Linked DNA regions of Caenorhabditis elegans. Each later gene encodes a partner of the first gene's protein in a complex. Each region holds a gene or a part of one and is shown in the gene's direction. Other genes may lie near its edges.

Evidence for each region.
Region 2: rpl-5 (region 1) and rpl-11.1 share a complex: the UniProt entries of both Caenorhabditis elegans proteins name them as parts of the large ribosomal subunit.

The regions. Positions count from the first base shown.
Region 1 is NC_003280.10:8,567,490-8,571,535, forward strand, and holds rpl-5 (Large ribosomal subunit protein uL18), read left to right. Parts: upstream 1-2,437; 5' UTR 2,438-2,443; coding exon 2,444-2,632; intron 2,633-2,684; coding exon 2,685-2,867; intron 2,868-2,912; coding exon 2,913-3,251; intron 3,252-3,299; coding exon 3,300-3,470; 3' UTR 3,471-3,497; downstream 3,498-4,046. Other genes in the region: col-38 (Cuticle collagen 38), read right to left, coding at 589-1,314, 1,443-1,580; bcs-1 (Mitochondrial chaperone BCS1), read left to right, coding at 3,607-3,833, 3,878-4,046. UniProt on the Caenorhabditis elegans protein: Component of the ribosome, a large ribonucleoprotein complex responsible for the synthesis of proteins in the cell.
Region 2 is NC_003283.11:3,584,698-3,588,415, reverse strand, and holds rpl-11.1 (Large ribosomal subunit protein uL5A), read left to right. Parts: upstream 1-2,351; 5' UTR 2,352-2,357; coding exon 2,358-2,492; intron 2,493-2,542; coding exon 2,543-2,758; intron 2,759-2,807; coding exon 2,808-3,047; 3' UTR 3,048-3,083; downstream 3,084-3,718. Other genes in the region: T22F3.2 (Ubiquitin carboxyl-terminal hydrolase 36), read right to left, coding at 249-413, 658-787, 837-999, 1,055-1,297, 1,351-1,584, 1,635-1,776; pygl-1 (Alpha-1,4 glucan phosphorylase), read right to left, coding at 3,627-3,718. UniProt on the Caenorhabditis elegans protein: Component of the ribosome, a large ribonucleoprotein complex responsible for the synthesis of proteins in the cell.

The DNA.
Region 1 (4,046 bases):
AAGTAGGTTGAATGCACACACTTTTTCAGAGAAGGTTCCATTTGAAAATTATTAGTTCGGGGTGAGAACCATATTTTGCCGTAAATAGAAAAAAAATGTTGCAACTGGGCACTGTGAGAAATTTCCAATACTTATGGTAACACATACATTTAAAAAATCTAGTCTCCGAATAAATATTCCATCAGACTGAGGATTTCACTCAATTAAACACGCTAATTTAAACCCAAAAGAAAATAATTTTAGGATTTTACAAAATTTTGGTAAAATGCCAAAATTACCAACAATGTGAGATTTTAAAGCAGTTTTGAGCATTGATGCATGGTCGAACCTCTAGAATGTTCAAAAATAAAACACACGTTTGAAAAATGTTATGCCCCAAACAATTTGCCTGTAAAATTGAAAAATGCTGAAAAAATGCTGAAAAATTTTTACTATTATACTTGGTTATTTTAGCTGTATAAGAATGGTTTTTAGCACTATTTCTGAATTTTGTAGGAAACACTAAAATTCGCGGATCAACTCATTCGTAGCCATAATCAAAATTTGAAATATAAGATTTTATTTGAAATTAAATCAAAATAAAATAATTTAGTGCTTCTTGGCTCTAGCTGGGCATGGGCAATAGTTAGCATCTGGTCCAATAGATCCATCCTTTCCTGGCAATCCTGGTTGTCCATTATCAGCATCACGTCCTGGTTGTCCATCTGGTCCCTGTGGTCCTTGTGGTCCTTGCTCTCCATCAACTCCAGAATCTCCGTTCTTTCCTGGTTCTCCTTGAGATCCTGGCCATCCTGGAGTTCCTGGTTGTCCTGGAAGTCCTGGTCCTCCAATAGTTCCATCTTGTCCAGTTGGTCCTTCAGATCCTTCAGTTCCTGGCTCTCCTTGTGGTCCTTGTTCTCCAGTGATTCCGGCCTCTCCTGGAGCTCCATCTTCTCCACATTGTCCTGCAGATCCAGATGCTCCTGGGAATCCTGGCTCTCCAATATCTCCGTCTGGTCCAGTTTCTCCTGGTGGTCCTTGTGGGCATTGAATGCATCCTCCTGGAAGATGATGGGTAACAGCCAGAGATACTCCAGAAGCTCCATCACGTCCCTTATCTCCAGATGGTCCTTGATCTCCACGTCCTCCTGGAAGTCCTGGTGGTCCTGGTGGTCCTGGTGGGCATCCTTGAGAGTTGGCATCACAATTACATTGAGATGGATAAGCAGAACGCTTGTTACGGAAAACGCTGGCGAAAGCGGCACTGCGGGATTCAGAATCAAGAGATGGCTTGGTGAATCCAATCATACGATTCCATGCATCATCAGACATCACCTGAAAACAGTTTTTTATAGGCATATCCAGTTGAATCCTTTCGGAGTCCAAGTTGACTATAACTCATAGATTTATAAAAAACTAATACTTTAAATATAAATACTAACAGGTTTATCATAATTACCAACCTTCATGTCATGGACTCCAGTTACAATTTCTTCTCTCATCGTGTCAATATCGACAACAATGGAATGCATGGCGACAAGGGCGCCAAAAACGGCAACCAGCGAAATAGAAGCACAAACGGGAACCAAATATTTTGACATTTTTAGACGATGTCTGAGTGTTCCATCAGGAAACGATTCATTTTAATAGTGAAGACGTTCGTGGTGAGATATAATGTGAACTTGAGAGAGATGCGTGACGGTACTGGAAGCGAATCCACTTTTTTCGACAGCGCGAAGAATCGAATAAAAAGTTAGGACCGTATGGGAAATTGTTTCTAAGTTTTTGGTGCAAAAAACCATTAGTGATAAGGAAAACCTGCTTTTCCGTCCATTTTTCATTGCCGGATAATCTTCTTGAGTGTTTTTTTTTCTGATTTGCATTAAAATTGGTTTTTTAATATCTCAATTCATATACGATTTGTTTTCTGTCTGTTTCCCTACTAAAAACTTATATTTTGAAGTTAATTCACAACGTTTTCTCGTTTGGAAGCGATGCCTACCGTACCCTTGCTGTTTGAATTCCCGCGCCTGCGCATCAAACTTTATGTGTGCAGTGGCGGTGTACGCACACCATCAACTCGCGTCTGATTGCGGACTTGAAGCAAATTTGTGTTGTCCTAAAAATTTTCTATTCTTTTTTTGATTTTTCAGTGCTTTTCACGATTTTTTTAAAATAAAATTAAACAAAAAATAAGATTACACTGATTTATCGATTTTTAAAGTCACTGTCTACACTTTTTCGATTTTTTCGAATATTTATCGTTTTCTTTGCTTGAAATTCCGCCATCTTTGAGAGTTTCATTGTTCACTCGTAATATTATTTTTGTTAGTCATTTTTTGCTAATGGCGAACGCTAGAACTTCCCGTTTCCTTCGAAAATAAGCTTGGTTTCTTCCCGATAATCGTTTCGTTTCTCTCTTTCTATACAGGATAGTTTTAAAAATATAATATTGCAGAAGAACATGGGTCTCGTCAAGGTCATTAAAAACAAGGCCTACTTCAAGCGCTACCAGGTCAAGCTGAGACGTAGACGTGAGGGAAAGACTGACTACTATGCCAGAAAGCGTCTTACCGTCCAGGACAAGAACAAGTACAACACCCCAAAGTACCGTTTGATCGTCCGCATCACAAACAAGGATGTTGTCGCTCAGGTAAGGTTTTCATTAATTTCAAATGTAGAATATATTAATTTAAGTGTTTCAGCTCGCTTACTCCAAGATCGAAGGAGACGTCGTTGTCGCTTCGGCTTACTCCCACGAACTTCCACGTTACGGACTCAAGGTCGGACTTACCAACTACGCCGCTGCTTACGCCACCGGACTTCTTCTTGCCCGTCGTCACTTGAAGACCATCGGACTTGACTCCACCTACAAGGGCCACGAAGAGGTATTTTGTATTTCTATTTGATCTTACTTTAAATTCATACTTTAGCTTACTGGAGAAGACTACAATGTAGAAGAGGAGGGAGACCGCGCTCCATTCAAGGCTGTCCTCGACATCGGACTTGCTCGCACCACCACCGGATCCAAGATCTTCGCTGTGATGAAGGGAGTTGCTGATGGAGGCATCAACGTTCCCCACAGTGAGAGCAGATTCTTCGGATTCGATCAAGAGTCGAAGGAGTACAATGCTGAGGCCCACCGCGACCGCATTCTCGGAAAGCATGTTGCTGACTACATGACCTACTTGAAGGAAGAGGATGAGGATCGTTACAAGCGCCAATTCTCCAAGTTCCTTGCCGCTGGATTGAACGCCGATAACCTTGTTGCCGTAAGTTGAATTATTCCTATTTTTGTAACCAATGTTTAAAATATTCAGACTTATCAAAAGGTCCACTCCGCCATCCGTGCTGATGCCTCTCCAGCCGCAAAGAAGGCTGCCAAGCCATCCAAGAGACACACCGCCAAGAGGCTCACATATGACGAGAGAAAGCAACGTGTTGCCGACAAGAAGGCCCTTCTTCTCCAACTCAAGGAGCAACAGGAGTAACTCTCTTTTTGTTATTTCGTTTTCAAATGAATGTATTTGTTGACAGTCTCGAGTTTTGTTACAATTTGTTCGAGTACGATAAAATTATACATTGGATTTCTTGATTTTTGAAGTCTAAATTTCAGTTAAAGTTAAGATGTCGGAAAATCCTGTCGTTTCCGATAAAAAACCAGGCCCATCAAAAGACTCTTCCTTTTTCTCCGATTTGTATGACAATTTGAATCAAAACCCGTATTTTAATGCGGGAGCTGGTCTAGCGGGAATAGGAATAGCAATGAGCTTTCTGCGGAGGACAGCTCAAATCAGCAACACGTATTTTCGTAGGCGTTTTATGATCAATCTTCAAATTAATAACGAAGACGCGTAAGTTATTTACAGAAATCCATCAGAAAATATAATGATTTTAGAGCGTATCCATGGCTTCTCGATTTCATTAATAATCGAAGTGCTACCCAAACACGGAATTTATCAGCGAATACAGTTGTTCATCAAGCTGAAAGTGGCAAAACTGAATTATCAATATCATTCCTACCTGGCCATGGAACTCATTTTTTCGTCCATGATTATCGATGGATC
Region 2 (3,718 bases), on another chromosome or scaffold:
TCTCTGGCTTCCCGCTGAATATTTATCAGTGGCCGAATGGTCTAGTGGTATGATTCTCGCTTTGGGTGCGAGAGGTCCCGCGTTCAATCCCCGGTTCGGCCCTTTTTTTTAAATGGAGTTTCATATTTCTTCGAATCTCTCCGGCGTGATGTATCTTTTTGCATAATCGCATTGTGGAATCAATGTTCTCTCTCTCACTTGTTTGAAACAGGAGAACTAGAAGGTCACATTGCCACACGGAACCTTACCGATGAATCATTCAACGTCACGAACTGCTCCTCTCGTTTTCTCGATCGAGCCACACACCAATAGTGGCCGTAGTCCAGCGTAGTCCCACCATGGATCACAGCTCCGCACAGCTTATAGACGGTGGATGCGCCGGCGGTGGCCATACTCGTCACATCGAGAGTTTCCTGAAATCAAAATTGAATTTTTTTTTTGTTGCTTAATTTAACTATTTTTACCCATTTTTCCGAATTTTTAAGCACAAATTATTAATTTCTATTCAATTAAATGACTTTAAACACTTAAAAGTGCGGAAAAATAGGTGAAAAACCATTCGGATAAAACTGTGCGGCGGAGTTGCGAAATCGCGCGCCGCGGATTGCGCTCGCGACTCCGCCCTTTTTTCCTGTGCCGTTTTCTTTAAAAACTAACATTTAAGGTGACAGGCCGAGAGATTTTCTTCCCCCAACCATCAAACGAGAAGCGAGAAATGTGCATTAGCAGGATCTGTGGAGCTCGGAGAAGTGTGGGCTTCACTGGCGCGTCGGATTTCTTTTTGCACCTGAAAATTGGGGAATTTTGATTGGAAAATGAGTTCGAAAATCCAGTACTTTGAGCAATTATAGCCGAATATCTTGGATTCCGTGAACAGAGCCTGCATGAGTTCTTTAATGGAGTGGCTTTTGCCTGATGGATCCTTTCTAAGCATCCGAACCGTCATAACGGTGTTGTGCTCATAGTAGACGTGCTTGTTCTTGCACCCGGGGCATTGAACTGGAAATTAAAATTATTTTCTTTAAAAAAAAAATCAATAAAGTGCTTCAAAAACCTTCATTTCTTATGGAATATCCGAACAAATCATCGGCCACTTTGCGGCCTTTCAGACGAGGATTGCTCTGCACCGATATCTTATCGAGCTTCCCCAGAATCGCCAGGAGAGCATCATGAGCGTCTTCCTGGCGGCCTTGATTGAATTTTCGATCTTTTTTGAATGCTTCACGGAACCAATTGATAGTTCCAGCATGGCCATGGCTTTGAAGGAAGTTTTTCTTCCAGTTGCAGCAGAGACAAGCTGAAAATTAGCATAATTGCGAGAATATTTCATAGAAAAATCATAAATCAAACCTGTATCTTGGCATTGATGATCCTGAAGGATCCTTACAATTGCCGGAACATGCGATAATAATTGAACACACGAGATCGCATAGCAATAAATCGACGGATTCTGGATTCCCTTTTCCGGATAATTCTCTCTCAATTCTGACCAATTCCAAGCGTAGAGACTGCTGACGAGTTCATGATTATCCAAAATCTCGTTTCCCCGGTCTGAAAGCGTTCGTGGGCGATTTGCTCGATTTGCTGCAAAAAACAAAATTAATCAGATTATTCGCAAATTTTCCAAAGCTTACATGGTGAATCAGGCGTTTTTCTATTAACTTCAATTTCAGGAGCTCGGGGTGCAGGACGATTTTGTGAGGAGGATGATGGAATAGTATCGAAATTAATCCATCTGTTCGTTTTGAACGAATCCCAACCCTCATTTACTGTCATTCTGTAACAAAAAACGTTGAAAAAAAATTAGAAATTCAATTCAAAAGAAGAAATTTCAAGAAAATATAGAAAAAATCAAGAAAATTCAAGGAAAACTTCAAAAAAAAAGAGCGAAAATCGGAAAAAAGCTGAATTAAATAATTAAATTCGAAAATTAAAGGCACACACCATTTTCGGGACCACGATATCTCGGCACGAAAACAAAACCGTACCCTCGAATCCTAAATCGGGCCGAAAATCATTTTAATTCGAGGTTTTTTTTTCTGATTTTTCGAGTTTTCCTCACAAAATGAGAGTGGTTTGTCGTTGTTTCGCCGTCTCTGTCACCCGTTTGTGCTGTTCTATCGCTTGCCCGTTTTCTCTGCCGTCTCTTCAGCGCATGCCGGTGTGTGTGTGTGTGTGTGCGCGTCGCTCCTCCCATTTTCGTTGTTTTAGGCCTAAAATTTGAATATCTTTCTAGGATCTCAAGATGCTAATTTTTTATCGGCATTTTTGAACTTGTGTCTATGCGTTTCTCTCTACTTGTTCTCGCTTGTCACAGTTTTCAAATTTTATGTATTTATGCTTTTTTTCAGGTAATCATGACGGACGTCGAAAAACAGACGGAAATTCGCGAGAAGAAGGGCCGCAATGTGATGCGCGAGCTCAAGATCCAAAAGCTCTGTCTCAACATTTGTGTTGGAGAGTCTGGAGATCGTCTCACCCGTGCCGCTAAGGTATTCCAATATATTCTACAGTAATTCGTAAATTTTCGAAATATTTTCAGGTGCTCGAGCAGCTCACCGGACAAACCCCAGTGTTCTCCAAGGCCCGATACACCGTCAGAACTTTCGGAATTCGCAGAAACGAAAAGATTGCTGTTCATTGCACCGTTCGTGGACCAAAGGCTGAGGAAATCCTCGAGAAGGGACTCAAGGTCAAGGAATACGAGCTTTTCAAAGAGAACTTCTCTGACACTGGAAACTTCGGTTTCGGAGTTCAGGTTAGCTTAAAGTTGAAGTGTTCAAAAGTGATGATTATTTTGTTTCCAGGAGCACATTGATCTCGGAATCAAGTACGACCCAGGAATTGGAATCTACGGAATGGACTTCTACGTCGTTCTGAACCGCAACGGAGTTCGAGTTTCCAAGCGCAGACGTGCACCAGGACGCATTGGACCATCCCACCGTGTCGATAAGGAGGAGACAATCAAATGGTTCCAGCAAAAGTACGATGGAATCATTCTGCCACCAAAGCCAAAGGTCAAGAAGAACTTCTTCCGTCGTCGTTAAGTTTTTCTATTTTCTGAATAAACTGTTGTTATTAAAAATGAAATTGCTAATGTTTTGTTAAAGTTGTGAATCATAGTCTGATTGTCGTGGATCTGAACTTCAACTTCCTGGAATCAATAATTTTACGTTGCGAATGGTCTTCTGATGTAGAAAGTTCAGGATATTTATCCAGGAATTTTGAAAACTCATCGAAAAGGAGTTTGGTATTTTGCTAACGAGCTGGTCGTAGAGGTATCGAAACTTCTTTGAAGATCCTTCAGACAGCCATAATTTTTAATTAAATTTCAGCATTTGCAGATTCGAGTCAAAATTAAAAAAAAAAAGTTGATATTTTCAGTCAATTTATCATAAATATGCAGGGCAGACGTGCAAATAGACAATCTCAAAGTATGGCAACACATTCGGGGGAAGTACGATTATTGGACTGGGGGCAGAGAGGACAAAATCAATTTGATCTTGAAGATTCACAAGAATTATCGGGGGAGGGAAAGGCTTCTATAAAAATGCTATAAACTAAATGGGACGGAGAGGAGGGGAAGTTATGGCGATAATTAATTACAATGTTAGTGCATAGAAGAATTATTCGCTCTTCTCATTCTCATATGGTGCTGGAAGAGAGCTCTCGAACTGGTCGATTCCCCAGATTTCACGAGCGTATTCGGTGATTGTGC